4 linked regions of the Struthio camelus genome follow. The protein of the gene in region 1 interacts with the protein of each later gene in a pairwise test. Links are inferred from orthologs where the notes say so. Each region holds a gene or a part of one and is shown in the gene's direction. Other genes may lie near its edges. The genes, in order: IFT20, NUP54, EMILIN1 and WASHC3.

Region 1 (7,867 bases):
AGTGAATTGGGGCTAAGTTCTGTGGCCTACCTAGAAAAATTTGTCAGCCTCCCAACCATCTTCTACTGTTGTTCAGAGTTAACAAAAAGAAAAGTATTCCAGGGATGCCAAAACATAGAATAGCCCAGAAAACACAGTGTGGGAAAAACACTGTTCCGGTCTCCGAATACGAGTAAAGAACACAGACAGATCAGGAGAGAGTGGAAAGTGGAAGCAGCACAGGAAGGAGTAGTAGATGAACGTTTTTCTGATTCTAAAACATCCCTGAGGGCACATTGACTAGGAAACAGGATGTCTGACTTGCTGGCAAACAATAGCAATGCAGGACACACGCAAGCAGAGGACTTAGTACAGTGACAAACTCTCTTCCATAATGTGGAAGGCAGGAAAAAAATGGTATTTGGGGACCCAGGTGCAGAGGACATTATAAGAAAAGTAGACTAAACCACTACTAGATTCTCCAGCTGTGGCTGTCAGAACACTAACCCTGTCCTCTCTTCAGGCTAAGGCTCTTACACAAAATTGCTGGGCTAAACTGATTTAGTCATATACAAACCAGCGTACTCAAGAGGAATTTGGTTTAAGTGATATGCACACAAAGAAGTTGTGTCAGTTTAAGTAAAAACACTGTTATGCATCAAGTTTAAATTGATGCAGTCTCAGCATGTGGAAGAGCTTTCACAGATGAATATTCTGAAACACCAAGAGGTTAAATACTTGCCATCCTCTCTCAATCTCTTCTCCACAGTGCTACAAGCCTCATTCCTAAGGTATCATTTTGCTATGGGATAGTAAAGAGAGGAAAACAGAAGCATTCATAGGCATTGCTGACATCAGTCTTCTTACTTGTTCTGTTCTCTATAATTTATTATGGATTTTTATTTTTATAATGCCAGGAATCAATGTCCAGCATGAGGCGACATAATACTTGACTGGTGACTAAATACTGTCACAACATGGATATGTATTGTCAGCAACAAGTGGAACATACTATTAGGAGGGGAAAAAAACCCAGAATCCTCAACATAGCAAGCAAGGCTGTTGAGTTTGAAAGATGAAAACTGAATGTCCCCCCACCCCCAGTTTTGATTGACACCACTATATATCACCCAATAAATGACAACCCATGTGCCGTATGTTCAGTCTTGATAACGTCAGCAATCTGTGTACCAGCTGGGATTGTAGCAAAGAGAACTAGTCCCTCCTCTAGTTAATTTTAGTAACAAAAGAGCACATTTTCATAAGGCACGGAGGCTTGCTAGAGCCAATGGGAGCTGGGTGCCTAATGTTCCAAATTACTTTCCGAATACGTTTTTCCTTATACCCTTCACTCAGCATAGTCTACAAAAACTATTGTTTTACAAAATTCTCCACATCAAAAGACATTCCCCTTACCTTCCTTGTCTGTGAGCACTTCCATTCTGCCACTGAACATAGCCTTCAACATTGTGTCATGCCTGGTCAGTACTTGAACCGTAGTATAATATAAGGAACCCCCAACATTTAGTCGCACATATTTGTTACCAAGGTTGCCCCCTTTGAAGTTGCTAGTTTTGGGCTTGGATCCTGCAGCTGGACAAAGGGTGGTTAGACATGTGTCCCCTGACATCTCCTTCTGTAGATAGATGACAACCCTGCAGAGCGTGGGCTTGATGGATTCCGCCGTGATTGGTGAAGAGTCACAAGTCACGAGATGAGGAGTGCAAGGCAAAAACAGTCGTAACCCACTGGACCCTTGAAACAGAAACGTATAAAGATCAATACAGAAGCCTGGAATTACCATTTAAAACAAAAACAGGAAACCCACATTAAAGAAGAAATGTATTCAGTAGATTCTTAAGGACACATCTGCACAAATTCTGACAAAACAAGACGTAAGTGTTTTTCAAACAACTTACACAGCAATATAATGATTGTTCAGCACCATACTGTTAAGTTATGGCTGCATTACTGTTAGCGAGGCAAGTAAAACTTTTCTGGACTTCCTTTTGTTTAGTCCTCAGTCAATATAACAATCACCATCCAATCCTGTACAAGTTTAAATAATAGTTAGAATTTGGCTCCCTCCCAACTTCCCAAAATAATGTAACTTTTTCTTGTGCAAATCTAAAACACAATGGAAGAGCTTTCTGCAATGTCTCCAGCTGGGGTTTATATGAATTTTTTTTTTAACTGGAGACATTTACAGAGGTTTCAGCTGCCTCTCTTTCAAGTGCCTCGACACTAAAATGCTGGGCCATAATGCTCTATTTCCTGGTACATCCTTCATTCAAAACTCTTTTTCCTCTGTCCTGGAATGCCAAGCAGTCAATATAATACTAATTTTTCTATTTAAAAAATACGTCCAGTCTTTGGAATATTTGCCTCACGGAAAAGCCAGCTAAGACATTCACAACTTCCTTCCTCTCCCCAGTCTCACTATACTTATCTTTCCATCCAAGAGAAGCTTAGAATGGAAACAAACAAACAAACAAAAGGAGAACAAAACTCAGTTTAACAGGCCAGATCTCAGGTTCTTTAACTGGAAAAGTACAAGTACGGGTTTCTCAGCTAGCCTTCTTTTAATAACTGTTGGCCTCAGAAACATTTTGCTGGCTTTTCCCCTCTCACTATGCTTTTGTCTGTTTATCTATTTCAGACTACAAGCGTCTGTTCGCTTCTCTGTTCTGTGCCCGTGGTACATGAGTGACCTTTTATAAATAAATATAATAACCTGTTAACTGTATTGCTATTCTTCCCACATCCCTCTTCCTTCTCACCCCACCTCAGCTTTCAGCATGGAAAAAACCCACATCTCTCCATCCATCTGGTGCAGCAAATTACTTAGCAGCTACAGATGGTATCTTAAAATTGCCAGAGATTTGAATAGCTACTGAACTTAGAACGATATCTAACATAATGTTATTCTAATTAAGGAAGCACTACAAAAAAGATCTATTAAACAACAAACAATACAAAAACTTTGCAGGTCACAAAGACACAAACCAATGTTAACAATTTTAGTGCCAAGAGAGATCAGTTTGTCTATAAATGCTGGAACTCCCACTAGCTGTCAACACTCTTTACTTTCAACTAATCATCCTAGAACACAATAGTAAATTTACTTCTACATCTGAACAAGCCAATTTTTTTTTCTGAGCACATCATTTTAGACAAGTCGTCCATTGACAAATATAAGTCAAAGGCAACTGCATGTTACAAATGAACTAGGCTAGAAAAGTAATTTCAAACTGGTAAGCAGCCAGCAACAAACAAAAACTGTGCATGCGATTATGGTGCTATAAGAAGTTTATTACCCAGAAGAGCTAAAAGCTATGGAGAAATTGACCAGAACTTCTCCAAACACATTGCACATAACACAATTCCTCCTTACTAGACATAGGTGTTTACTATAATCTTTTACAAATAAGTAAATCAAGACTAGAAGCAACTATACTTATTGTTTCAGTTAAGACCTTTGGTAGACCTAAGTTATACCTCTATTTCTACAAATTTGTTACAGATGTCCTGTCTTGTTTTAGCCCATAGCGATCTCTCTTTAAAACAAAAGCATGTTTTTAAAGATAGCCAGATTGATCATGCAACAAAAGAAATAACTCCAGACCCAAACAGAGCTCTTTAATGTCTTTCTAATGGATAGCAAAATTCTCTATCCAGCCTATCCAAGTAGGAGCAAATACTATTACTGTAACATGTTTATTAACTAGCAAGCTAGGAGGCTTTTGCTGCAAACAGTAATTTGACCTTTAATTACACCCATTAACGCAAGAGAAAATTTTCTACGTCCTTTCCTTCCTGCCTTTTGTGGGAAGCAGATGGAGAACTGCAGAACAATAACACGGCAGTTCAGACACCCTATCAGGAAATGGTCCCAGTTGAGGACTTCCATAAAAAGAAATAACGTTAACAGCTCAAGAGGAGAAAAAAAAAACTTGAACAGAATCACTTCTAAAGTGGCACACTTTCTGTCTAATTTCTGGACTAGACAAAATGGTCTTAGTAGTTTTGGACACTCCCAGGCTCTGCCAAGCCCATCATGATGGGACAGAAGCATGACCCCGATCCTTGCTGAAGTCTGCACAGAGCTGAGCAGCACAAGAAAGGTTATGGATAGAGAAGGTTTAGTGGAGTCAGAAAGGAAGGTGGCATGAGCACGTCAGTGTCAGAACAGCGGAGAAAAAGGAGGTTTCCTGCGTGCCCCGAAGTTTCACATACAGATGGAGGGCAACGTTTCCAGAGACAAAGTTTCCGGGTGCTGAATTACTCGAGTCCACGCACCTGGCCTCTATTCCTTGGTCAGCAAGGGCGACAGCACCACAGCGGCAGAATGTTTCCTCTCGGGGTCTCAGTTTTACATCTGGCAAGGCAAATAACAAGGTCACCCTAGAAGCTAAATACTCATGTGAGCAGGAGTTCTCCCCTAGCCGTCTCTCACCGCCCACCGGGATGCTGGGACGATACCTGACCGCACTCTTCCTCAGCCCCGCTCGGCCGGCAGCGCCGCGCTCCCGCGCCCGCAGGCTCAGCCCCGCCGCGCCAGGCCTCCGGCCGCCGCCGCCGCCGCCCCCCGCGCCTCCCGGCTCCGCCGTGCCCTCCCCCGCGGACCCGCCGCCTCGAGCGCTCACCCCCCCGCGGCCCCTCGGCTGAGCTCATTTCCTCCGCGCGCCGGCAACCCGGAAACGCTCCCCGCCGCCGGGACTACAGCTCCCGACGTGCCGCGGGCTCGGCGGGAGGCTGGGACTACAGCTCCCGGCGTGCCGGGTAGGGCCCCGCGACTGCAGTACCGTCCCCCCTGTCGCCGTGGCAGCCGCGGTGCGGAGGGGCGCTGCCAGGTGACGGGGGCGGCGGGAGGGACGGGACGGGCCGCCGGCGGGGAAGGCGCTCGCTGCGGTGCCGGCTTGCTGCGGAGCGCGCCTGGGAGCGGCAGCGGGGGCGGCATGGCCCGCGACGCCCTGGGGCAAGCCGGGCTGCATTTCGACGAGCTGAACAAGCTTCGCGTGCTGGAGCCCGGCGTGGCCGAGCAGACGGCGCAGCTCCGCGAGGAGTGCGGCGCCTTCGTGGACAGTAAGTGCCGCTCCGCCGGGGCGCCGCGCCGCGCCCGAGAGCCCGCGCGGCCCCTCGGGAGCGGTTTGTTAGCAGGTGTCGCTTAGCGGGGCCGTGCGGGGGCTCCGCAGCTTCGAATAACCATTCCTTGAATAGACGGATCGGAAAAATGCCTTGAAGTGACGAAAAAATTAAGGAAGCGGACTCCGTGGCGTAAAGGACGGTGATGAATCCCGTTAACGTTTATGGGCTTCTCTCTTTTTTGTTCCCCTTTTATATCCTACCTGTTGTGAAGGAAAATCTTAAAGTGCACCTATTTACAGTAAACTGAAAGGACTAAGAAGTCACGGCTGAAATTCAAAGCCTATAGTACACATATTAGTCTTATTTGGTGTTATTTTGATGGATATTACTTGACTTTTTTTTTTTCTTTGCAGAAGTAGTAGAATTTCAAAAAATAGTGGGTAGCTTAATTGAACTTGTTGATCAACTAGCAAAAGCTGCTGAAAGTGAGAAGATGAAGGTACTGCGCAATTAATTACTGGCTTGTAACATACCCTGCCCTGTACAATGCATGAAAAACCAGCTCCCTTCCTTCCTACTTTTACAGTATAAACAATAATTTTCTGTCAGCATCATGCAGATATTTTCCATGGTAGTTAACATCTCCCTGCCTGTCTGGTATGAAAGCATAGGGGCTACAAAAAACTGACATTAACAACTGGAAAAATTTTATAAGCACACCTGGAGTGTGACATTACTCCTGCATTTAATAGTGCTACTGTTGCAGCTTATCAGTATATTGCATGTAAACAGAAAATGTTTTCTGATCAATATTTCTACCATTTGAACTTAGTTCATGAGAGGATCCACGAGGAGGAAGAAAGGGCTGTCCAAAGACCAAATCAATATATATCTCTGTAACTACCTCTGAAACTTTCTTGGCGTATTTCTATGCGTCACTAAGACTTTTTTCCCCCCTATTATTGCGAAAATAAAAATGAACAACTAGCAAAATTGTAGGTAGTTGCTTTTTCATCATTTGTTCTGGGGAAAAAATTATAACCAGAGCTTGTCTATCTGTAGTACTAGTCACCAATGATCAGATTGTATTTCCAGAAGAGTCAGTGGCTTTCCTGTCAGCGTGTTATGAACACTTGAAGTTTGAAGGAAGCCTCAAATGCCTTAATCTGCACAACTGCTACAGGGCTGTCTGCCTGTTCCACTAAACATTCAGTATCAACATGATATCCTCTTCTATTGTTAGCACGGCTGAAACACTTCAAAATCAATCTAATAGTAACAAAAGTGGTTTTAAAAAAAAAAAAAAAGCTCCTGATACAACTACGTCACTGCAAATCCTGTTTTGACAGGCCATTGGTGCACGAAATTTGCTGAAGTCTATAGCTAAGCAAAGAGAAGCTCAGGAACAGCAACTTCAGGCTTTAATAGCTGAGAAAAAGATGCAGTTGGAAAGGTAAGTTTTATATTAAATATAGTTTTTTGGGCATTGATTTAATATTTTGAAATGAAAGTAGTATATCATACATGACAAACTCAGCTCAATTATGTAGACTGTATACTCAGTCTTATCATCTGTGCTTGCCTGAAGGAGGAAAGTCTCTAAGCTTGTTCAAACAGTCCACCTGCAGCTAAGGTGTATCCTCCCATACAAGGCATGTATGAATAATGCAGCAGCATAATTCTATGCTTAACTTAAGGCCCTGTCTACCACTCTTGCAGGAAGCCTCATTTCTAATGTTTTTGTGGCTAAATAGAGGGGGCACGAGATCATGCAGCTAAGAAACTTAATAAAACTGTAATACAGTGCTGTTTGGATTTTTGTAGGTACTTCAGAACTGCAGTGTCTAACTGATGTAGCCACTGCTTTAAAAATTACTTATGCGCTTAGCCTAGATTTCCTTCACAACAGACCCATGAAGATAGAACTAAATCATCTAAATAACAGGAGCTGAATGTAGCTTGTAACCATTTTTTCTCTTTCAGATACCGAATAGAGTATGAGACACTATGTAAAATAGAAGCTGACCAGCATGAATTCATTGACCAATTCATTTTTCAAAAATAAAGGATTTTAAGATAAACAGCATACTGACCTGGGAACTTGACCATTCCAGGATCCTGAGGCTTTCAAAAATATGCAATTTTTCATTGTATATGAATTAACAGATGGCTTGTACAAATGAAAATGTTTTTTAATACAATTTGAATTTACACTAAAAGTGGCAATAAGGAAAGCTTTCTAACAGATGTAAATAAAGACAGTTCTGTCCTGTAGTTTTATAAAATGTTTGTACAGTCAGTAGTTCAAATTCAGATTACAATTGAATTAACGCTACTGTTGCTATGTTATGTTTCTCACTTTTTGAAGTGTGCAACTCTTTTAAATAAATCAGGAAATAAATTATTGTTTTCAGACCTTCTGGGGAATCTCAGAATTACTGCTTCTGCTAAGTTTATTTCTGCTCTTAAGAGTTTACAACTCTGCATAATCATAATGGAGAATTTCCTACGTATAATATTTTCATGTTTATAAAGACAACACACAACAGAGAGAAGCAGCAGTAATTTTATCTGTATTGATCAGATTTTCCTTTTCTATCCATTTAAAAAGAAAACAAGGAAAATTGAGCAACAGTTGATTAATTACAAATGAAAAAAGTAGAAAACATAGAATTCAGATTAAATTACATCTGAGGTGCAACGTCCATACAGCTAGTAATATTAGAGTAGAATATTTTTCTGAACATTAACTTCAAATTGATGAGACAAACTGTTCCAAGGGTACTGTAAAACAAGGGGT
Region 2 (7,633 bases), on another chromosome or scaffold:
CAGCCATAGATGATCATAACCACTATATCAGTGAAAAGAAAATGCCCTGATTTGTTATAAGAATGACGCGGGTAAAATTTGCAAATGGCCTTAGGAATGTGGGCTGCGGGAGTACCCTTTTAGCAGGGTATTGTACACTACAGCAGGCTCCTGTGTCACCCAGGAACACTTGAAAATTTTGCTGTAGGCCTCGTATTGTCTTTTCTGTAGAGTGCTACAGGCTTCTTACTACCAGGGTGCGCTGACTGTTAGTATCATTGGCCCTTTCACAGGACTGATTTGTAAAACTAATCCAAAACATTCACTGAAATTTAGTTAAACATACATAGATATTAAGTAAAAAGAAGCCAATGATTTGAAATGTTTTTCCTTACAGACCTCTTACCTGTTTTAACTGTGCGCAGGATCCCATTGCATGTTAGTGATACATTTATCCTTTAGTTTTTTCTTGAACTTATAAAACAAAACAAAGCACAGCATTGCTCTTGATGGTGGAGGGTACAAAATGGTATTCTTTTTTCTCTGATATTTGTGTCACAATTATCAACTGTGAGGTGTAATGTGATCGAAGACTTGGCAGTTAAATGTATTGTTTAGGATGCAAGCAGACCTCCACATTAAGGTATGTATAGGGCCCTGAAAAGCCAAAATGTTTTTTTACTTGTCAAGTGGAAACTCTGCTGTTTTAAAAACAAAGGTATTTTTTCCCCCAGTGCAAGGAGTATTTTCATTGAGAAAATATCCATGAGATAAGATAGTGAATCAAATTTTAAAATGTATTGTTTTTTTCAAAACAGAGGCATTGTTTTTGGCATTGTTTTGGTTTATCTTTTTGCCTAGCTGACAACTGGCTCAGCAGTTTTGTTCATCTGGAGCCAGTTCCATCCAGGAACTTTCACAGTGATGACAGTTATTTATTATGTGTTGTCTAAAAGCGCTTGCCGCAGCCCAGGGTCCTCACAGTGCTGCAGTTCCAGCTTTGCCTGTTCCACACAAGGGGCAGATTTGCCTCAAGCTGTGCTTTCAGCAGAAGGCCAGAGCCTAACAAATTAGTATCCTAAGCCAGGGCCCGAGCTTGCTGCTTGGCTGAGGAACAGGACTCCGCTAGGACATTGCCTGCCTATCTCCTTGTGAACTGTAAGCGTATACCCCAGGAATAAGAGACTCGTTCCAGCTTTTTACATGCAGTCACCTCAGCGAAGCTGTTCTGGAGCAACCCCTCTCTTCGACATCGTGGGCTGAAACTATCATCTCTACTCCATGTCCCCCAGATGTTGCCTTTTGGCTGTCTGGGCTGCAGATAATGCTCTGTGATAACACTTTGGCAACTTTCTTTGCTCTACTTTAACCCAGACTGCTGCTCTTCTTGCCATGTCCCGGATGCCGGATATGTAGTTGGAGTCAGTCACCTTAATGGTTTTGCGCTATTCATTTCCTTCCTCGGCTGATGTCTGAGAGAATCTGCCTCATAGGGAAAGTCCAGTGGATTTTCTTTCCTAGCTGCCTGCCAAGTCATACCCTGGGGAGAGTCTGCCTGCAAATTATGGTGTCAGGAAGGGGGCAGGGAAAAACTGCTGATTCCAATGTGAGGCAGCTCCCCACTAAGATAAGTCTTTCTCAGGCAGATATGGAGAGGCACCAGGCTGCGTGGCTACTATAATCAGCACAGTATAGCCACGTGAGTGTGTATCTCCTTCTCGAGTCAGTGTGCACTGACTTTTTGGGGGGGTTGATTAGGCTCCATCACGCTCTGTGCTAAAGGAGTTCGTTGCTCCCCTTGTAGAGCTGCCTCTGGTATCTGTGTGCCACAGCATGTAGGTAGGCTCCAAGGCATCTATATTCAGAGTCTCGTCTGCTAACAGGCAGTTTGTCTTGCACAGTGTAGGCCGGAGACTCGGCAAGGCCTCAGTGTCTCCGTTCTACAAGCCAGGCCACTGCGCTCTAAAGGCACGCGATCTGCCTTGGCTGCATCTTGTGCATGAGTGTCTAGACTGCAGCACAGAACTAAAATCCTCAGTGATGCTTCCACCATTGCCCATGGTTTTCCCAGTTTTAGTCTTAATAAATAAGTAATAAGATTCCTAGAAGGAATAAGATTATTCTGATCAAATGATAATGTTTCAGAGGGTAAAATCCCCCTTCCGGAGAGAATTAGCGAGCAGTCCCTGCACCACAGGTGCTTTGGCCAAAGTGGCTTCAGCCAACTCCAAGGCAGATGGGGGGGGTGACTTCAGAGCTGCAGCTGGTCTCAAGGACTAGGGAGCGGAGGCAAGCCAGAGCCTGACACAGGACTTCAGAGGTGGTAACTCCGTTCCTTGGGCTCATTGCTCAGCCACTGTAAACCTCCGTGGCTCCTTTGCCATCAGGGGAGCCGTTCCCCCTTACATATACGAGGGGCTTTGCCCTTCAGTGTTGCTCTCTTTCTGAAGATGCAAGATGAACATCCTAGCTCTCTGAATTACTGTTGCTAGCTGTTTGTTTGTGTGTGCTTCCCTAACATGATCCAGCACGTTAAGCTGCACTTCTCTTTTCCTTACTGAATTGCTGCAGTACCTCCATTCTGCGACCTGTTTCTGAGAAGTTTTTTTTTCCCTTGGGAATCGTCTGTTTCTTAAATCTGCATTTAACCAAAAAGGAGGAAATTTTCCTCCGCCTAATACACAGGGAAGATCTGGTTAGGTTCTGTAACTCTTTAATTATTTTTTCCTGCTCTACTATTAGACACTCGATTTATTCTTGTACAGTCAGACTGTTTTTCTGCATCTTCTCAGTTTTGGTGCAAGGGTGGAAATTCTCACAGTGCTGTGGAAAGTGGCTTTCTACTGATTTCAGGGCTGCTTTCTTCTCTGCTGGTGGTGAGGACCTGAGGGCAAAGTTCCGGCAAAAGTTGTCTTTAGTCTCTTGGTTTAGACACAGTTGTTCTGGGCTTCTGAACATCTGAATCTTCCAGCAACAGATACTGAAGCAGACGGATTTTCGGAAGACCGTAGCTTGACCTAGCCCTGTGCCCACAGAAGTCAGTTGCGTTCTGCTGTAGGCTCTGTGGGATCCTCTGAAACCTCCCCTATAAATGGGTACAAATTGACAGACAAATGCTTAGCTGCTTGGAGGAAGGTACATAAATGTCTTAGTAAAATGACTACAGAATTTTAGAAAGAAACGAGCCTAAAAGATGCCTGCTGGTTTGGCTGATATTTTATTTCCTTTTTGGTTTATTAAACCAGTGTATTTCCATGTGATGCCTTGTAGTGGAGTCTTATGCCCTCCTACTAATACAGCATCTACAAAATAGCAGCTGTACTTTGGAAGAGCTGTTCGCATTGGACACCAGGCTTTCCCTCACTAACTTAGACATGGTGACAGTTTGGTGGTTCACGCAGTGGGGACAGTTATCACCAAGAATTTATTGCACTATTTTGGTGTGATCAGTGGTCTGGCTATTTTCTGTGACGCCAGGGTCTCTTTTGTTCTCTCTTTTTATTTGTAAGTGTTCAAGAAAACACTAAAACATGTATTTTACTCCTGTGAGTGCATCGTGTGTATGATGACAATAACACTCGTGTGCCGGCGCAAGCTCCTGCGCTGCCCAGGGCCTGCAGGGTGGCTGGAGCTTTGGTTCCCCTGCTCCGTAGCACGCCTTCGTCCGCCTCCCGGCGCTTGGTGGTGACACGGGAGACGTACAGGGCTGCGAGGACGCTGGGCAACTTTGTGCGGGCGCTCGCGTAGGAGCAGGGGGAGCTGCCGCCTTTGCTATCCAGGGATGGTGGCGCTTCAACTGCACGGCGCAGCTGGGAGGAAGAAACCATTGGCCCTTGTAAAACGCGTGAAGCCGTCAGCGTGCAGCCACCCTTGGTGTGAGCGGGAGTCCAGCACGGGGCAGGGTGCTGAGCGCCGGGGCGGCAGCTCCCCGGGGCACCCAGGCATCTTGGTAAGAGTTGCACATGCTGCGCCCAGCAAAGACTGGACACGTAATCCCTCCCCTTTGCTGCTCCACAAAGTATTAGTTGTTCTCGGAGCCAAGGATGATCCCGTGCAGCGTTTAGTTACTTACAAGTGCTGAAGACTTGTGGGGGATGATTGTCAACTTCGCTGATTGTTTACTGATTGTTTTTTAAGCTGAAGTTATTTCCCGGTGGCTGACCAGAGGAGACACTTGAGCGCAAATCACTGTGTCTGCACGCGTGGCTCACTTCTTGAGACGAGCAGTTTTTATTTCCACTGTACATTCAGATCAGACGTCGCACTAATAAAAGTTAATGTTTCTATTTAAGCGACCCTGGGCGTGTGACGCTTCTTTTACCGGGCGCAGCCGCCCTGCTCTGCTTCTGCCCCTCAGTGCGCTGAGGGAAGCGCTGCGCCGAGAGCCGCTCACTCCCAGGCTGCGGGGCCCCGGGCCGGCTCCCACCCGCGGCCCCGCCGCAGCCTCCGCGCCGGGCGGCCCCCAGGGGGCGGCAGAGGGCGCGCGGGGGGAGGCGGGGAGGCGGCTCGCGTCATCCGTGGCGTCACCGCCCGGGGCCGCGCCCCGCCCCTCTGCGGCGCGCGTTGCCGTGGCGACAGGCGGGGCCGCGCTTGCTTCGGAGGTCGGCGGTATAACCCGGAAGCGGCGCTGGGCAGCGGCCGGAAGCAGCGGGGGTTTGTTTCCAGCCGGACGCCTCGGGCGTTGCACGCTGCTCCCGCGGCCCCGCCAGGAGCACCTCATGGCCTTCAACTTCGGGGCGACGGCGGGGGCCGGTGCCGCCAACCCTACCGGTGAGTGTGAGCGGCCGCGCGGGCGGGAGGGAGGAGCCGCTGCAGTCGCTCTGCTGGGGCCGGGGAGCTGCCTTTTTCTCTTCCCCCCCCCACGTGCCCTGCCGTGGCGGCCGAACCCCTAACGGTCGCGGGGCGCGCGAGCCCCCCCCGCACGAGCCCCCCCCCCACGTGCCCTGCCGTGGCAGCCGAGCCCCTAACGGTCGCGGGGCGCACGAGCCCCCCCCCCGCGTGCCCTGCCGTGGCAGCCGAGCCCCTAACGGTCGCGGGGCGCACGAGCCCCCCCCCACGTGCCCTGCCGTGGCGGCCGAACCCCTAACGGTCGCGGGGCGCACGAGCCCCCCCCCACGTGCCCTGCCGTGGCGGCCGAGCCCCTAACGGTCGCGGGGCGCACGAGCCCCCCCCCCCCACGTGCCCTGCCGTGGCGGCCGAACCCCTAACGGTCGCGGGGCGCGCGAGCCCCCCCCGCACGAGCCCCCCCCCCACGTGCCCTGCCGTGGCGGCCGAGCCCCTAACGGTCGCGGGGCGCGCGAGCCCCCCCCCCACGTGCCCTGCCGTGGCGGCCGAACCCCTAACGGTCGCGGGGCGCGCGAGCCCCCCCCGCACGAGCCCCCCCCCACGTGCCCTGCCGTGGCAGCCGAGCCCCTAACGGTCGCGGGGCGCGCGAGCCCCCCCCCCACGTGCCCTGCCGTGGCGGCCGAACCCCTAACGGTCGCGGGGCGCGCGAGCCCCCCCCGCACGAGCCCCCCCCCACGTGCCCTGCCGTGGCAGCCGAGCCCCTAACGGTCGCGGGGCGCACGAGCCCCCCCCCCACGTGCCCTGCCGTGGCGGCCGAGCCCCTAACGGTCGCGGGGCGCGCGAGCCCCCCCCCCACGTGCCCTGCCGTGGCGGCCGAGCCCCTAACGGTCGCGGGGCGCGCGAGCCCCCCCCGCACGAGCCCCCCCCCACGTGCCCTGCCGTGGCAGCCGAGCCCCTAACGGTCGCGGGGCGCACGAGCCCCCCCCCCACGTGCCCTGCCGTGGCGGCCGAACCCCTAAGGGTCGCGGGGCGCGCGGGGGTCAGCAGCCAAGCGCCCAACGGCCGCGCACGAGAGCTGTGTCCCCTTCCCCCCCCCCCCCCCCCCACAGCCCTACACACAGGTGAGGCGCCGCAGCAGCCGAGCCCCCAACGGTCGTGACGCGCCGTTGCAGGTGAGCCCCTAACGGTCGCCGGGTCCTTGGCATGGCTGGGCCGAGACTGTTTTTTCAGTTCTTGGCGGCGGCGGTGTGGGCTCCAGGACGGACCCCTCGGCTTTTTTCTCCCAGGCACTTTAGATCAGAGTTTGTCTCTCTGATTATGGTTGTTGTTAGTCTTTTTTCCCCCCCCCCCACCGTTTGTTTGTATGTCTTTCTCCTGTGGGTACAGCTGCAAGTAGCAGTGGGAGGTCACTGTAAGAACTTAGCCGGCGCTTGTCTGTATTCATGCAGTTGTGGAAATGCTTAAATATCGTTAGTCACTCTTAGAGCGTGCGGGGTATGCGTTACCTGACTGATGCTGACAGATCACTCAGATTCTCACTTTCAATTGCAGTAATGTTTCTCTAAGAATGAGAGGCTCCTGGAAGTCAATTTCTGAGAAGTGCAAAACACTGTTGAACTTGGAAAGACTGAAAGACTCCCCCTGCCCCTCTTTTTGTTGCTGCCCAATGACTGCCAGTGTTGGTGAAATGTAAATCAGAGCCTTTCTACTCTCATTTAGTAAAATTATTCTTTCTCAGCTTTTGGAATGTTTAAAATAGATTGAAGAGTCGTGTCTTCTCTGGCTAGTATGCACAGGGCTTGTCATCTTTGGTTTATCTCGGGTTACTTTATGGGCTCTCCTCCTGATTGTGTCATTGTTCTAGATGCAGACTTTCTGGCCCATCTTAAGGGAAAAGATAATATTTTACTGCTTGCACAGCTAGTTACTTGGTTTCGTGTGCGTGCAGACCACACACCCAAGAAATCCCAGTTGCCTGCCTAGCATGAGCCTGTTCCCCAGCTACTGCTGAGGAGGACCTGATAGGGATGCAGTGTATTGGCCCGTTTTTCTTAGCCTGGAGAACCTTGGGTGCGTGAGGTCAGACACCTGCAAGCACAAAGGTGGACAGAGAGAAGTTGTGAATGCACTTGAGTGATTGTTAGCCCTTAAGTGCTTGTTATCAGAGTGATTACTGTAGCGAAGATGTATCTTAGCAGCTCGTAGTGCTTTAACTGCTCAAGTTGTATTGCTGTGGTTACGCTGCTACAGCCACCCGTGTGAGGGTAGTATATGGGCATAAAGATCCTTTATCCTTGCCTTCCTGATAGTTTGTGAAATAATGATACTACTGTCAGTCGTGCTGGTACTGATGCAACTGTATTCAGCAGTCGTAGGTGGTTTAAAAAGTACTATTAATGCAAATCTTTAATCACATGGAAATTTTCCTGTTTAACTTAGAAATGGGAACAGAAAAGACTCAAGTGTGTTACATGCGGTATAGTTGAAAAATATGATTACAGTAGCGATGCAAGGAGAGTGTGTCAGACACTAAGCTTGCAATTGTCTTACTTGTGTTCAATAAATGCTCTTTAATATCAATTGACTTCTTACTCTCATTTTTTAACTATGCCTGTTTTGTCTCCTGTGATGGAAAATATTTTAGCTTTTACTTCCTGAACCTGCTTTTTACTTCAAACTAATGTTGCCTTGCTCTTTTTCTGCTTCCCACTTGTCAGGATTTGGTGGGCTTGAAACTGCAAACTCCACTGCCAGTGGGTTTAATTTTGGGGGTTTCGGATTAACTGCTAATCCTGCAGTGAATTTTAATATTGGGAATTTCGGTGTTTCCACTACCTCAACTCCACCATTCAATTTTGGTAACAGTCTG
Region 3 (7,797 bases), on another chromosome or scaffold:
GCTGGGCTGTGCTGGGCCGTGCTGGGCTGTGCTGGGCTGAACTGGGCTGTGCTGGGCCGTGCTGGGCTGTGCTGGGCTGTGCTGGGCCGTGCTGGGCTGTGCTGGGTTGTGCTGGGCCGTGCTGGGCTGTGCTGGGCTGAACTGGGCTGTGCTGGGCTGTGCTGGGCCGTGCTGGGCTGTGCTGGGCTGTGCTGGGCCGTGCTGGGCTGTGCTGGGCTGAACTGGGCCGTGCTGGGCCGTGCTGGGCTGTGCTGGGCCGTGCTGGGCTGTGCTGGGCTGTGCTGGGCTGTGCAGGGCCGTGCTGGGCTGTGCTGGGCTGAACTGGGCTGTGCTGGGCCGTGCTGGGCTGAACTGGGCTGTGCTGGGCCGTGCTGGGCTGTGCTGGGCTGTGCTGGGCTGTGCTGGGCTGTGCTGGGCTGAACTGGGCTGTGCTGGGCTGTGCTGGGCTGTGCTGGGCTGTGCTGGGCCGTGCTGGGCCGTGCTGGGCTGTGCTGGGCTGTGCCGGGCTGAACTGGGCCGTGCTGGGCTGTGCTGGGCTGTGCTGGGCTGTGCTGGGCTGTGCTGGGCTGAACTGGGCTGTGCTGGGCTGTGCTGGGCTGAACTGGATTGTGCTGGGTTGTGCTGGGCTGTGCTGGGCTGAACTGGGCCGTGCTGGGTTGTGCTGGGCCATGCTGGGTTGTGCTGGGCTGTGCTGGGCTGAACTGGGCCGTGCCGGGCTGTGCTGGACTGTGCTGGACTGAACTGGGCTGTGCTGGGCCGTGCTGGGCTGTGCTGGGCTGTGCTGGGCCGTGCTGGGCTGTGCTGGGCTGTGCTGGGCTGTGCTGGGTTGTGCTGGGCTGTGCTGGGCTGTGCTGGGCTGTGCTGGGCCACACTGGGCCGTGCTGGACTGTGCTGGACTGAACTGGGCTGTGCTGGGTTGTGCTGGGCCGTGCTGGGCCATGTTGGGTTATGCTGGGCTGAACTGGGCTGTGCTGGGCTGAACTGGGTTGTGCTGGGCTGTGCTGGGCCGTGCTGGGCTGTGCTGGGCTGAGCTGGGTTGTGCTGGGTTGAACTGGGCCGTGCTGGGCTGAACTGGGCTGTGCTGGGCTGTGCTGGGCTGAACTGGGCTGAACTGGGCTGAACTGGGCCATGCTGGGTTGTGCTGGGCTGTGCTGGGCTGAACTGGATTGTGCTGGGTTGTGCTGGGCTGTGCTGGGCTGAACTGGGCCGTGCTGGGCTATGCTGGGCCATGCTGGGTTGAACTGGGCCGTGCTGGGCTGAACTGGGCCGTGCTGGGCCACACTGGGCCGTGCTGGGCAGTGCTGGGCAGTGCTGGGCAGCACTGGGCCACACTGGGCCACACTGGGCAGCACTGGGCCACACTGGGTCACACTGGGCCACGCCGGGCAGCACTGGGCCGCGCCGGGCAGCACTGGGCAGCGCTGGGCAGCACTGGGCAGCACTGGGCTGCGCTGGTGTCAGGGCGGGGTGGAGGGGCTGGCGCGGGGCTGCGGTTCGGGGCAGCCGGGCGGGGGGCGGCCGGCCCCGGCCCCACCGAGGGACGAGGGCCCCGAGCCCCCCGCCACCCCCCCCGGCCCCCCGCGCCGTCCGCGGGACCCCCGGCCCCGGCCCGGCCGCCGGGAGCTGTTTGCACTGAACCCGCGCCCCCTCCCCAGGCAGCGGCCGGTTCCCGGGCGGCTGAGCCAGGCGGTGACGTCACCCGGGGCCGGGGCCAAGGTGTGACGTCATAGGGGGCTGGGAGCGGGGGCCATTACATCACTGCATAGCCTGGGGAAGCCGTGATGTCACTGCAGGCCCAGGGCCAGGGTGGCCGTGATGTCACTGCATGGCCGGGGTGGCCGTGATGTCACCACGTGGCCAGGGTGGCCGTGATGTCACTGCATGGCCGGGGCGGCCGTGTCGTCAGTGCCCAGTCCCGGCTGCGTCCCCACTCCCGTGACACCCCCCCCCCGCGGGGGGTGACACCATGGCAGGCGACAGCCCCGGCCAGTCCCGGCCCCTTTGCACCCCCGCGCTGGCGGGCTGTGGGCTGGCGGCCCTGTGGGGACCGGGGGCAGTGGGGGGGGCCGGGGGCCGTGCAGGAGCAGGGGGCCGGGCAGGAGCAGGGGGCCGGGCAGGAGCAGGGTGCTGTGCAGGAGCAGGGGGCCGTGCAGGAGCAGGGGGCCGGGCAGGAGCAGGGGGCCGGGCAGGAGCAGGGGGCCGGGCAGGAGCAGGGGGCCGGGCAGGAGCAGGGGGCCGTGCAGGAGCAGGGTGCTGGGCAGGAGCTGGGGGCCGTGCAGGAGCAGGGGGCCGGGCAGGAGCAGGGTGCTGTGCAGGAGCAGGGTGCTGTGCAGGAGCAGGGGGCCGTGCAGGAGCAGGGGGCCGTGCAGGAGCAGGGGGCCGTGCAGGAGCAGGGGGCCGGGCAGGAGCAGGGGGCCGGGCAGGAGCAGGGGGCCGGGCAGGAGCAGGGGGCCGGGCAGGAGCAGGGGGCCGTGCAGGAGCAGGGTGCTGTGCAGGAGCAGGGGGCCGTGCAGGAGCAGGGGGCCGGGCAGGAGCAGGGTGCTGTGCAGGAGCAGGGTGCTGTGCAGGAGCAGGGGGCCGTGCAGGAGCAGGGGGCCGGGCAGGAGCAGGGTGCTGTGCAGGAGCAGGGGGCCGGGCAGGAGCAGGGTGCTGTGCAGGAGCAGGGTGCCGTGCAGGAGCAGGGGGCCGGGCAGGAGCAGGGTGCTGTGCAGGAGCAGGGTGCCGTGCAGGAGCAGGGGGCCGGGCAGGAGCCGGGGGCCGTGCAGGAGCCGGGGGCCGTGCAGGAGCCGGGGGCCGGGCAGGAGCCGGGGGCCGGGCAGGAGCAGGGTGCTGGGCAGGAGCAGGGTGCTGGGCAGGAGTAGGGGGCCGTGCAGGAGCAGGGGGCCGTGCAGGAGCCGGGGGCCGTGCAGGAGCAGGGGGCCGTGCAGGAGCAGGGGGCCGTGCAGGAGCAGGGGGCCGGGCAGGAGCCGGGGGCCGTGCAGGAGCCGGGGGCCGTGCAGGAGCCGGGGGCCGTGCAGGAGCAGGGTGCTGGGCAGGAGCCGGGTGCTGGGCAGGAGCCGGGTGCTGGGCAGGAGCAGGGGGCCGTGCAGGAGCAGGGGGCCGTGCAGGAGCCGGGGGCCGTGCAGGAGCAGGGGGCCGTGCAGGAGCCGGGGGCCGGGCAGGAGCAGGGTGCTGGGCAGGAGCAGGGGGCCGTGCAGGAGCAGGGGGCCGTGCAGGAGCCGGGGGCCGTGCAGGAGCAGGGTGCTGGGCAGGAGCAGGGTGCTGTGCAGGAGCCGGGTGCTGGGCAGGAGCAGGGGGCCGTGCAGGAGCCGGGGGCCGTGCAGGAGCCGGGGGCCGTGCAGGAGCCGGGGGCCGTGCAGGAGCAGGGGGCCGTGCAGGAGCAGGGGGCCGGGCAGGAGCCGGGGGCCGGGCAGGAGCCGGGGGCCGGGCAGGAGCAGGGGGCCGTGCAGGAGCAGGGTGCTGGGCAGGAGCAGGGGGCCGTGCAGGAGCCGGGGGCCGGGCAGGAGCCGGGGGCCGTGCAGGAGCAGGGGGCCGTGCAGGAGCCGGGGGCCGGGCAGGAGCAGGGTGCTGGGCAGGAGCAGGGTGCTGTGCAGGAGCCGGGTGCTGGGCAGGAGCAGGGGGCCGTGCAGGAGCAGGGGGCCGTGCAGGAGCCGGGGGCCGTGCAGGAGCAGGGTGCTGTGCAGGAGCAGGGTGCTGTGCAGGAGCAGGGTGCTGGGCAGGAGCAGGGGGCCGTGCAGGAGCCGGGGGCCGGGCAGGAGCCGGGGGCCGTGCAGGAGCAGGGGGCCGTGCAGGAGCCGGGGGCCGGGCAGGAGCAGGGTGCTGGGCAGGAGCAGGGGGCCGTGCAGGAGCAGGGTGCTGGGCAGGAGCAGGGGGCCGTGCAGGAGCAGGGTGCTGTGCAGGAGCAGGGGGCCGTGCAGGAGCAGGGGGCCGTGCAGGAGCCGGGGGCCGTGCAGGAGCAGGGTGCTGTGCAGGAGCAGGGTGCTGTGCAGGAGCAGGGTGCTGGGCAGGAGCAGGGGGCCGTGCAGGAGCCGGGGGCCGGGCAGGAGCCGGGGGCCGTGCAGGAGCAGGGGGCCGTGCAGGAGCCGGGGGCCGGGCAGGAGCAGGGTGCTGGGCAGGAGCAGGGGGCCGTGCAGGAGCCGGGGGCCGTGCAGGAGCAGGGGGCCGGGCAGGAGCAGGGTGCTGGGCAGGAGCCGGGGGCCGTGCAGGAGCAGGGGGCCGTGCAGGAGCAGGGGGCCGTGCAGGAGCAGGGTGCTGGGCAGGAGCAGGGTGCTGGGCAGGAGCAGGGTGCTGTGCAGGAGCAGGGTGCCGGGCAGGAGCCGGGGGCCGTGCAGGAGCCGGGGGCCGTGCAGGAGCAGGGTGCTGTGCAGGAGCCGGGTGCTGGGCAGGAGCAGGGTGCTGTGCAGGAGCCGGGTGCTGTGCAGGAGCCGGGGGCCGTGCAGGAGCCGGGGGCCGGGCAGGAGCCGGGGGCCGGGCAGGAGCCGGGGGTGCAGCAAGGGGTGCCAGGGACCCCGCGCAGTAGCAGCGGCCGCGCTGGCGGCTGTGCAGCCCTGGCCCCCTGCCCGGCCTCTCTGGCTTTCCCCGTCCCTCCTTCGCCGTCCTCGCTGGCGTCCCGGCCTAACGAGAAGCAGATGTGCGCGGCGGCGGCGGCGGCGGCGGCCGGGGGGGGGGGGGGGGGGGGGGGCAGCCCAGGCCGGGGCAGAGGCGGGGGCGGCGCGGGCGGGGCGGGGAGGGGGCCGCGGCGGGCAGGAAGCGGGGGGCCCCGGGGACCCCGTCGGGCGGGCGGGCAGCGCCGGGGCGGCTCTGGCGGCGAGGGGCCGGCCGAGGCGCGGCCGAGGGGAGGGCAGAGCCCAGCCGGGAGGGACGGAGCCGCGACGGGACGCGCCATGCGCTCCTGAGCAGGGCTGCGCCCGCCGTGCCGTCCGCGCTGGCCAGCATGGCCCCCTGGCTCTGGCCGTGCCTCCTGGCCGCCCAGGCCCTGGCCGCCAACTTCCCCCCCAGGTACAGCCTCTACACCGGGGGGGCCGCCCCGCTGAGCCCCGTCCAGGCCACGGCCCCGCAGGGCCCCGCCGCGGCCCACGGCGGCGCCCGGGCCGCCAGCCGGCACAGGTAGGAGACGCGACCGCCACGCTGTGCCACGCTGCGCCGTGCCGCGCTGCATGGTGCCGTGCTGCGCCGTGCTGCATCGTGCCGTGCTGCATCGTGCCGTGCTGCGCCGCGCCCTGCGCCGTGCCGTGCTGCGCCGTGCTGCATCGTGCCGTGCCACATCGTGCCGTGCCGTGCTGCACCGTGCCATGCAGTGCCATGCTGCACCATGCCGTGCCGTGCTGCACCGTGCCATGCAGTGCCATGCTGCATCGTGCCGTGCCGTGCTGCACCGCGCCGTGCAGTGCTGTGCTGCAGCGTGCCGTGCCGTGCTGCACCGTGGCATGCCATCCTGCACCGTGCCGTGCCATGCAGCGCCACGCCATGCCACACTACGCCAGGGAGGCGAGCCCAGGCGTCCGGGCGGCGTCGCCTGCCCCAACACCGTGGGGTGCCCGGGACCAGCCGGACGCCGGCACGTGCTGCGTCCTGCTCAGGGCCCCGCCAGCAGGGCCAGGGTGCAGGACCCGTGCCTGGGGCCACCCGCGGGGTGCTGGGGGCCCTGGGGCCCGGGCGGCATGGCGTGGGGCTGAGCTGGGCCCGGCGGGGGCCCCGGTGCCGACACGGGGCTGCGAGCCGAGCTGCCACCCCGGCTGCCAAGCGTGGAGGGGCTGGGGCCGCAGGCGGTAGGGCGGGTGGGTGTCAGGGGGGTCCTGAGAGCGGGGGGCATGCAGGGGGGCTGGGGACGGGGTGCACTGGGGGCTGGGGAGGGGTGCACATGGGGCGTCAGGGACGGGGTGCACGAGGAGGAGCCCAGCCTCGAGGGTGCACCGGGTGGGAGATGGGGACGGGGTGCACATGGAGGGGGGTCGGGGACGGGGTGCACGTGGCGGGGTTTGGGGAACGGGGTGCACGAGGAGGAGCCCAGCCTCGAGGGTGCACTGGGCGGGGGGGGGTTGGGGACGGGGTGCACATTGTGGGGGGACGGGGGGGGGGTCTGGGCAGGAGGAGTTTTAAGGAAAGGTGTGTGCATGGAGGGGCTTGGAGTGGGGGGCGCCCCGAGGGCTGGGGCGGGGGGGTGGAGGGCTGCCCGGACCCCGCAGCCCGCCCCACGGCTGCCCCGCTCGCCGCGGGGCGCCGGGCCGGGGGGCCGGCGGGCGAGGGAGGGAGGGAGGGGGCGTCCGCCGCAGGAATTCCCGGAGGCCCCCGGGGAAGGAGCTGGAATCCGGCCGGGGGCCTGAGGGGGAACCAGCCGGGCTGACGGGAACGGGCCGGCGGGGGGGCGCCGGGACGCCCCGCTCCCCGGCCCCGGCCCCCTCGGCCGGGCTCGCAGCACAGGGTTTGGCCGAGGCCCCTGCGGTTGCAGCCGGGGCGGCAGTGGGGCAGGCCGTGGGGCGCGCAGCCCGGGCATCCCCCAGCACCCCACGGCCCCGCGCCCGGCTTCCCCTCGCAGCCACGCGGCGGGGTGGCCGTCCCCGGCGGGGCTCCCGGTCCGCCGTGCCCCTGCCGTACCCCCCCGCCGTGCCCCTGCTGTGCCCCCGCCGTGCCCCCACCGTGCACCCTGCTGTGCCCCCCGCCGTGCACCCTGCTGTGCCCCCGCCGTGCCCCCGCCGTGCACCCTGCTGTGCCCCCCCGCCGTGCCCCTGCCGTGCCCCTGCCGTTCCCCCGCCGTGCCCCCCCGCCATGCCCCCGCCGTGCCCCCGCCGTGCACCCTGCCATACCCCCACTGTGCCCCCGCTGTGCACCCTACTGTGCCCCCACCGTGCACCCTGCCACGCCCCCCCGCCGTACCCCCGCTGTGCCCCCGCCATGCACCCTGCCATGCCCCCCCGCCATGCCCCCGCCGTGCACCCTGTCATGCCCCCCTGCGGTGCACCCTGCTGTGCCCCCGCCGTGCCCCCCGCCGTGCCCCCCCGCCGTGCCCCCGCCGTACCCCTGCCGTGCCCCCCCGCTGTGCCCCCACCGTGCCCCCGCTGTGCCCCCGCCGTGCACCCTACCGTGCCCCAGCTGTGCCCCCCCGCCGTGCCCCCTGCATTGCCCCCGCCGTGCCCCCGCTGTGCGCCCCGCTGTGCTCCCCGCCGTGCCCCCCACTGTGCACCCACCGTGCCCCTTGCCGTGCCCCCGCTGTGCCCCCCACCGTGCACCCACTGTGCCCCTGCCATGCCCCCGCTGTGCACCCTACTGTGCCCCCGCCATGCCCCCTTGCCGTGCCCCCGCTGTGCCCCCCACCATGCCCCCGCTGTGCACCCACCATGCCCCTTGCCGTGCCCGCGCTGTGTGCCCCACCGTTCCCCCACCGTGCACCCCGCTGTGCACCTTACTGTGCCCCTGCCGTGCCCCCCACTGTGCCCCTGCTCTGCCCCCGCTGTGCTCCCACCGTGCCCCCGCCGTGCCCCCGCCGTGCCCCCGCCATGCCCAGGGTGATCAAAGGGCCCCGGCGCTGCGGGCGGCCGGGCAGAGCGGAGATGAAAGGGCTCCGGCCCGGGGCAGGATCCAGCCCCTTAACCCGGCCGCCCTGGGCCGTGGCAGCCCTGGGCGGGCGCCTGCCCGGAGGGTGCCCGGCCGTGCACTGGGAGGGTGCTGGGGTGCGCCAGGAGGGTGCTGGGTGCGTGCCGGGGAGGGTGCTGGGGTGTGTGCTGGGAAGGTGCCCGGATGTGTGCCGGGAGGGTGCTGGGGTGTGCGCTGAGAGGGTGCTGGGTGTGCACCAGGAGGGTG
Region 4 (6,927 bases), on another chromosome or scaffold:
TATTCAACTGAAATTTATTTTGATAACTGTTGAACAGTCTTTAATCTTGGCTTCGCTGAAAGGTGGAGCTACATAACTGAGTCTTTACATGCCTACATATATATGTACACATGCATAGGATATAAGCTGCTTTCAGTTACATACTGTACAGTATTTATTCCTTAAATGTGATATTTATCATCCAGTATGGGTGCTGGTACAGAAATTCATTTTCAAATCGTACACAGTGTAAATTTGGATATTATCCCTGAATTATTTTGTATAAATCCTCCCGCTGGGATTCAGACATTAATAGTTCCAGTTTAACTAGCTCGATTAAAACATTTTAAAGAGGTTTTGGAAAAATTTGGATCATTTGCCTCCACTCTGTTTGTGTTTTTCACTTTTCATACCCTGCATTTTGTAGTTCCAGCTGGGAGAAAAAGTGCTGTGTTACAGCTTTCTGCGCAGTATTTTTGGCCAAATCAAAAGAAGGAAGTACCAGAAAGTTCACAGACGAGCCGATTCTTGTCAGACTTCTTGTCCAATTTTACAGATCAAATGATTCAGCTAAGATTTGGCTAAGCATCTATATTATAAAATTTCTTTAGCAATGCCTGGAAAACTTACATTATGGGCATTTTTTGGTAAATGAGATTCATTCTTCTTGCATACAACTTGTCCTTTAAGATAATTAAGATGGCAAGATAATTCACTTAGATATTTTAAACAAACAGTTCCTTCCCCCAAAAATAATTTGCAGAATTGCCATAGGCTAGATTAAACCTATTGAATTTGTAGGCTAACCCCCTCCTTCCTTTGAGAGATGTGAGAAATTGCCAAGTATATGTCACTGGGCCAAAACACCGTACAAAACCCAGGTTGTTCAATAATTCAAACAGTATGGACAAAAAGGACTTTGCTATGTAGTATTTTAGCTGAAAGAATAAGAGGGATATGAGTATGACGAAAGATAAGTTAAAGAAACCACTAAATACGAAATCAAAGAAAAGCAGCTTCAGCACATAAATGAATATTTTACCTAATTTCGGAGCAACAGAGGTAGGTACTCCAGTTCTATTCCAGTCCTCATAGATCCTGGAAATGGGATTGCTTAGTGAAACAAAATAATTTGGAAGTAAACTGAGAATTTAAAATTTTAATTAAAATTAGCATAGCACTTTAGGGATATAATCTTCACTTTAGGGATATAATCTTAATAGTATTAAAGTAATTAGCACCTTTTGGTTCATCTCATCACATGAGAAGCTTCCTACTGACAGCCTCAGACTATGGTAGATTCTTAACTGCTCTAAATTTAGATAGTTTTATTGGATTTATGAGTATTTAGAGGTAGCCATGAGGTGTTTTCATCAGGCACTTACTCCACTACACTCTATTTGGATACACTGCTGTTACAAACAACCTGGAACCCCAAATTGCTCTGATTTGTCTTGTCTTCCAGTAATACACAAACCTAGAATATAAATGAATTAAAGTTTTAATTAAAAAGGTTGAGCTGTTTGTTATATCATTGGAACAAAAGATTACCAACAACCTCATTCCAGGATCTTTAGTTGCTTAGCTTGGATTCTCCAAAGCACAGCCCAGGTGTCAGGACTGAGAATTCTGTGCTCACAATGAACACTCCAAAGGTTAGCCTCTTTTCTGAACTAATTATTTTTGTCAAATCTGTGAATAAACTCTGAGAGTTAATGACAGTTTTCACAGAAGGAACAAATGCAATCTGCATGTACTGCTGGAGCTGGGGCTTACTTAAAACTGCTAGTGTGCCTGATGCTCTCTTTGGAGCTATGTGTTAGGAGATTTAAAGGTAGTTTCTCATCCTTCATTCATACTTAATCAGCCACAGGATTGGATGCATGATCTATCTGTAATTGCCATTCCTGGCTCTTTTAGAGGCAATGTCCTAAAATGTGTAATGACTTGTTCTTCTTTGAGCCTAACCAGCTGGCTGGTTGATCAGTCCCAAAGAATACAGACAGTATAGCTCACAGAAGACCTGTTGACAATGTGGAAACCAATTATTTAATACAAGATAGGGTTCAAACACTCTCTGTTCATTTCACAATCTCTTGTATATAACTGTGTATAAATGTATATACCACATTCAAAATCTTATGAGCACAGATGGCAGATGCGGTTAACAGGGCCAGAAGATCAGCTCTCCTTCCTAAGCTTTTACTGTGACTATCAGAGTTTCAGCCAGCAAAATAGCTATCTCAATCACCGTGCACAGTTCATTATATATTTTTAAAGTTACACATCAGATGCGCATCCAGCAAATAAGTGTTTCTTTCTATTGCTGTTCTCCTGAAACGCCAAGGGCGAAGTTGCATGAGATGGCAGAATTATCTGCATTTTGCTACCACTCCCTGAAAGGAAAGGTCTCGTTTTCTTTTAACACTGCCCCTCCCTTATACACAGACTCTGGTGTTCAATGCACACTTCAGCTGATTTGATTCAGCTCATTACCCAAAGAGGAAAAACTCCCTCCTCTAAGGTTAGTTGTCTGCCAGGATGGCAATTTGAATTGCCTCAAGGATGGGTTCACCGAGAACAAGTGATAAACTGAGTTCACCAGCTGGTGGTGAAGGGTGAGAGGGAGGTGGAAAAGCCTTTCGACGAAGCAAGCTATTGGAGTGGTCCATACCGTCTTCATTTTGGGACCCCACACCTAAATGGTTTGATTAGTGCTCTGAAATTAGCCACAGCGGAAAATAACATGAGCAACTTCTCAGAGATAAAAAAAAAAAAAAGAGGTTGATTGTTTTACAGTTAGGGAATTATTCCGGATGAACACTTGGAAACCTACTGACCATTCCCTTTTTCCTTAGAGTCTGATACCCCTAAGTTTCTTTGGCCGAGAGAAACAGAGTAGACCTTCTTATAACCTAAACATGAGAGCAAATAGAAAGCAGTGGTAGGTATTGCTGAACAAAAGAAAACATCACCATAGGTCAGCACAGGAGGCACATATACAGCAAGGGCATCTTTGGAAAATACCAACATTACTGTATGGTGAAGAACTTCAATGAATAACCTGCTTCATTGTCACTAAATACTGGTATTACTTTTCTGCTCAAGCTGACTGTGATCCCCTATTGTTTTAATGATACGAATTTTCTATTATGTCTTTATTCTCATATCATGTGTTAACTATTTAAACACTCTCCTATCCATTGTTACCCTATGATCAGAGGAAACCCCATCTTTCACCTTGTCTGGGTTTACTGGTGAGCTGTACCACCAGTACACCAGTTATTGCAAAATCATCAAAGTGAACATTCAGCCGAGCTTAATTCTTATAAATCTTCTCATGTTAAATATCCTGTCAAAACCAAACAAATAAAAGGCAGAAGTGAGAGATACTGCTATTTAAGAGACTTGTTCAAGCGAAAAGTTACTTGTTTAGTAAAGGCCCGTTACAGTCAGCTTTCCAAACACATTTCATGAATGTTTTCAACATATCTTTATTAAAAATGATTTTTTTATATTTATTTTTATATTATCCTTTTTATATTACAGACGTATTTTTTAAGTTTTGAATATATCCATGAGATACGCAGTACAATCCTGGAAAACCCTAAGGAAAAGCACTGATAAAATCTGAATGAAACTATCAGTTTATAAAATACGATTACAGAGATGATAGTGGCAGAGCACTAAGCAGCATTAACTGAAACACTAACGTTAAGACAGGCCGCAGCTAAGGTTCCCCGTACTCCCTTAGCTCCTTTTGCAGTAAGGTACAGAAATCTTTCGTAACTTGATTGCCCAGGCTCATTCACTGCTCGTGACTTTTATCCGACCCTCCATCATCCAAAAAACGCCCCAAAAAATAAAAAAAAATCAGTTTCCTTGCGGATATTTCTCCTTATTTGGCTGCCTGACGGCTGGGGAAGACCTTTCCCCTCCACAGCCCGTTATCCAAGGCCTTGTTTTCAGACAGGTCGGTGCGGCAGCGTGAGCCCCGGCCGCAACGGGGGCCTTTTGCCAAACGCACTAGAAGAACAAGGGCGAAGGCAGCACCGCGGTGCTTCAGCAGCCGCCCTTACAAAGACGCGGAAGGAGGCCGGTAGAGGCGGGGGGACCTGCGCCCGCCGCCGCCGCCACAGCTCGCCTTCCCCCCCCGCCCCCCCAACCCCGCACCTCGCTCGGACTACACTTCCCATGGCGCATTGCGGCAGGGGCCGGGGCGCTGCACATGCGCACAGCGGCCAGCGCCTTGCCGGAGCCGGCGGGCGGGTTTGTTTCCGGGCGGTGGTCAGAGGTCGGGCGCGCAGCGCGAGGGCCTTGCGGGGGGCGGCGGGGCTGTCGGCCGCCCCTCGGCCGCGGGGCGGCGGGGCGATGGATGAGGACGGGCTGCCCATCGTGGGCTCCGGCATTGACCTCACCAAGGTACGGGGCGCCGGCCGCCGCGGAGGCCGCAGCTGGCCCGGCCCGGCCCGGCCCGGCCCGGCCGCGGCTGCGCTGACCCTGGTGCTGGGCGGGCCGGGTGCTGCCGCCCGAGGCCCCGGCGTGGGGGGTTGGGGGCGCCCGGCCGCCGCCCCCGGGGCGCAGAGTGGTATGCGAAAGTAACTTCGTCCCTGCAGCGGAGGCGCCCGGCAGGCCCGGCGGTTTGTCTCGTCTTGAGCTGTGTCTGCGAGGGGACAGTCTTGCGCTCTTCCAGAGGCGCTTGGCTGCAAGTAACAGCGTCGTGTTTACGGGTTAAACCGTGTCGGGCTTCGAACTGTGAAACAAACCCTATGCAAAGCTGCCTACCTTGGTCTTTTAGTGATTAAAACAAAAAAAAAAAAAAAACCCACGTTATTAGCTTTGTTTATGAAATATCAAGCATAAGGATTGGACAGTTCCAGGCCTGATGATTCCCCTTCCTTCCATCCATCTTCCTAGCCCCGTAACTTTCTGATAAGGATTTGACCGCTGTTTGATGGTTTTGGAGCTACAGAATTGAACTTTAGGAGATCTTGGACTACAGGTGAACAGATTGACAACTGAAGCGATAGTAACAACAATCTCACAAAAAATCAGGATGTTTTCATGTTGGCAAAGGTAGTGAATGGCTGCACTGACAGGTGGGAGTGCAGCAAACAAGTAGCAACCGTAAGTGCTTGCTGAACAGCTAATCCTGTCAATGTAGTCGTACTCAGGTGCTGATTAAGACAAACTGTGGTTCAGTGCAGCTAAAGCTTTGCTACAAATGTTTTTCCTTGTAAGTGCTCTGCTTGAATCAATTAAGATTCCCTGTGTAACTTCTTATGTGGAATTTAAGACTTTTCACTATTGTCCAAAAATGAACTCTGAAGCCCTGTAATTTTATAGGCAAACATTTGTGTGAATGTTCTCGGTTTGCATCTTTTCTAATGGTTTAAATAAAAATGCCAGCTATTTGTTGCAAATGAACACCACACCTGTTTTCGACAAATATAACCTTCTACACCTTTTAGCCTGAAAAGTACATGTGCATGAACCTCCCACTTGGAAGAGCGACACTGAAGTCTAATTTTAGGATAATCTTAGCTTGAAAAAAATATATAGGTATTCAGTAAAGACAGACAGCAATTTCACTACTCCTTATTTTTGATTGTGAAGTATTGATGATAGTTTTAACTGAGTACTTACATGGATGGACAGGTTTTCTTTTTCCTCCTTAAACTTCCAAAAGAGAGGTTCTGACCTGCTCTCTCTCTCTTTTTTTTTTTTTTAATTTTAATGCTGATTTTCAAGGGTTTTCATAATTTCATTCAAAAGCATTTGCTTAAATAAGGTAACTGTCCTTCAGTTATGTGAATATTCCCTTTTCCATGTATCTTTTAACTTTTCAAGTATGACATTAGTAAATTTTTAATGAAAAAGAATTTGTATATCTATAAGCAATGAATAAACATATATATATGTATATATATATGCATTCATATCAGGCACGCTTAGGGCTTACTTCTAAAATAATTTCTTCTAAAATACTTGCAGTTTTTTATAACTATCTTAGTCTAGATGTGAGAGTTGATGCCTGTGTATAAGCTAATTTTCTTATATTGTTTAATGCAGGTTCCTGCTATTCAGCAGAAAAGAACTGTAGCATTTCTAAACCAGTTTGTGGTTCACACCGTACAGTTTCTCAACCGATTTTCTACTGTTTGTGAAGAGGTATGTTTATTGTTTCCCATTTGTCAATTTGTATAGATGAAAAAACAAATTCAGAAATGAGAACCATTCAATTTGATACGTTTTGCTGCAAGATGGCCAGGTAGCTTAAACCAGAAAATTTAATCGATGCAGTGTTTCTCTTGAGTGAAGACGTAAGACAGATTTTTTTTTTCCAAGTTACCCATGTGAATTGCTGATTGTACCAGACTGATAACCTTTTTCCTTAAACTTTTGCATTTGGCACAGTCTTTGGACTTTTTTCTGAGCAGCTCCATTTGTGGATATGCTCTTCTTTTGGAAGAAGAATGCCTTCTTTCTATGCTGCTGGATCTATTTTGAAAGTCAGTATTCATCTCATCCTACGATGCACATCAAAATTTTCTTGCAAATATTTTCCACCTTTACTTTGAAAGGGTGATATGCTAAGCTCTGCATGTAAATGATATTCATGTGAAAAAAAGACGTTTTTGGCAAGTGATTAGCATGGAACATGAGGCAGTTGATTTTAGTGTTTTCTCAGAAAGAGAAAAGTAAAAACAGTAAAAGCTGACAAGTTTTTATGGTGAATTTAGTGTCCAAGAAAACATACCAGACTGACAGTACTAGAATTGATCACAGAACAGGTCTAGAGTGTTTCATCCCTTGTAGAAAGGTTGGTTTCTAATGTGGCTTTAAGCTTAACCTTTTTATCATGAGGGTTTTTTTGTAACTGTTGACTCGCTTACTCAACAAAGACTACTATACAGCCCTAGCCAGCAGCAATTGTCATATCCAATT

Evidence for each region.
Region 2: the proteins of IFT20 (region 1) and NUP54 interact in binary tests that used the Homo sapiens proteins (3 or more experiments, as listed by UniProt). The two-hybrid records come from large-scale screens. The link is inferred for Struthio camelus from reciprocal best matches to the Homo sapiens genes IFT20 and NUP54.
Region 3: the proteins of IFT20 (region 1) and EMILIN1 interact in binary tests that used the Homo sapiens proteins (3 or more experiments, as listed by UniProt). The two-hybrid records come from large-scale screens. The link is inferred for Struthio camelus from reciprocal best matches to the Homo sapiens genes IFT20 and EMILIN1.
Region 4: the proteins of IFT20 (region 1) and WASHC3 interact in binary tests that used the Homo sapiens proteins (3 or more experiments, as listed by UniProt). The two-hybrid records come from large-scale screens. The link is inferred for Struthio camelus from reciprocal best matches to the Homo sapiens genes IFT20 and WASHC3.

The regions. Positions count from the first base shown.
Region 1 is NC_090957.1:21,431,407-21,439,273, reverse strand, and holds IFT20 (intraflagellar transport protein 20 homolog), read left to right. Parts: upstream 1-4,852; 5' UTR 4,853-4,937; coding exon 4,938-5,064; intron 5,065-5,480; coding exon 5,481-5,566; intron 5,567-6,416; coding exon 6,417-6,520; intron 6,521-7,050; coding exon 7,051-7,132; 3' UTR 7,133-7,487; downstream 7,488-7,867. Other genes in the region: TNFAIP1 (BTB/POZ domain-containing adapter for CUL3-mediated RhoA degradation protein 2), read right to left, coding at 1,396-1,783. UniProt on the Homo sapiens protein: Part of intraflagellar transport (IFT) particles involved in ciliary process assembly. May play a role in the trafficking of ciliary membrane proteins from the Golgi complex to the cilium.
Region 2 is NC_090945.1:6,654,421-6,662,053, forward strand, and holds the start of NUP54 (nucleoporin p54), read left to right. Parts: upstream 1-4,624; 5' UTR 4,625-4,697; coding exon 4,698-4,749; intron 4,750-7,481; coding exon 7,482-7,633. UniProt on the Homo sapiens protein: Component of the nuclear pore complex, a complex required for the trafficking across the nuclear membrane.
Region 3 is NC_090944.1:900,677-908,473, reverse strand, and holds the start of EMILIN1 (EMILIN-1), read left to right. Parts: upstream 1-4,793; 5' UTR 4,794-4,933; coding exon 4,934-5,106; intron 5,107-7,797. UniProt on the Homo sapiens protein: Involved in elastic and collagen fibers formation. It is required for EFEMP2 deposition into the extracellular matrix, and collagen network assembly and cross-linking via protein-lysine 6-oxidase/LOX activity.
Region 4 is NC_090942.1:63,564,317-63,571,243, forward strand, and holds the start of WASHC3 (WASH complex subunit 3), read left to right. Parts: upstream 1-3,924; 5' UTR 3,925-4,173; coding exon 4,174-4,401; intron 4,402-6,051; coding exon 6,052-6,150; intron 6,151-6,927. UniProt on the Homo sapiens protein: Acts as a component of the WASH core complex that functions as a nucleation-promoting factor (NPF) at the surface of endosomes, where it recruits and activates the Arp2/3 complex to induce actin polymerization, playing a key role in the fission of tubules that serve as transport intermediates during endosome sorting.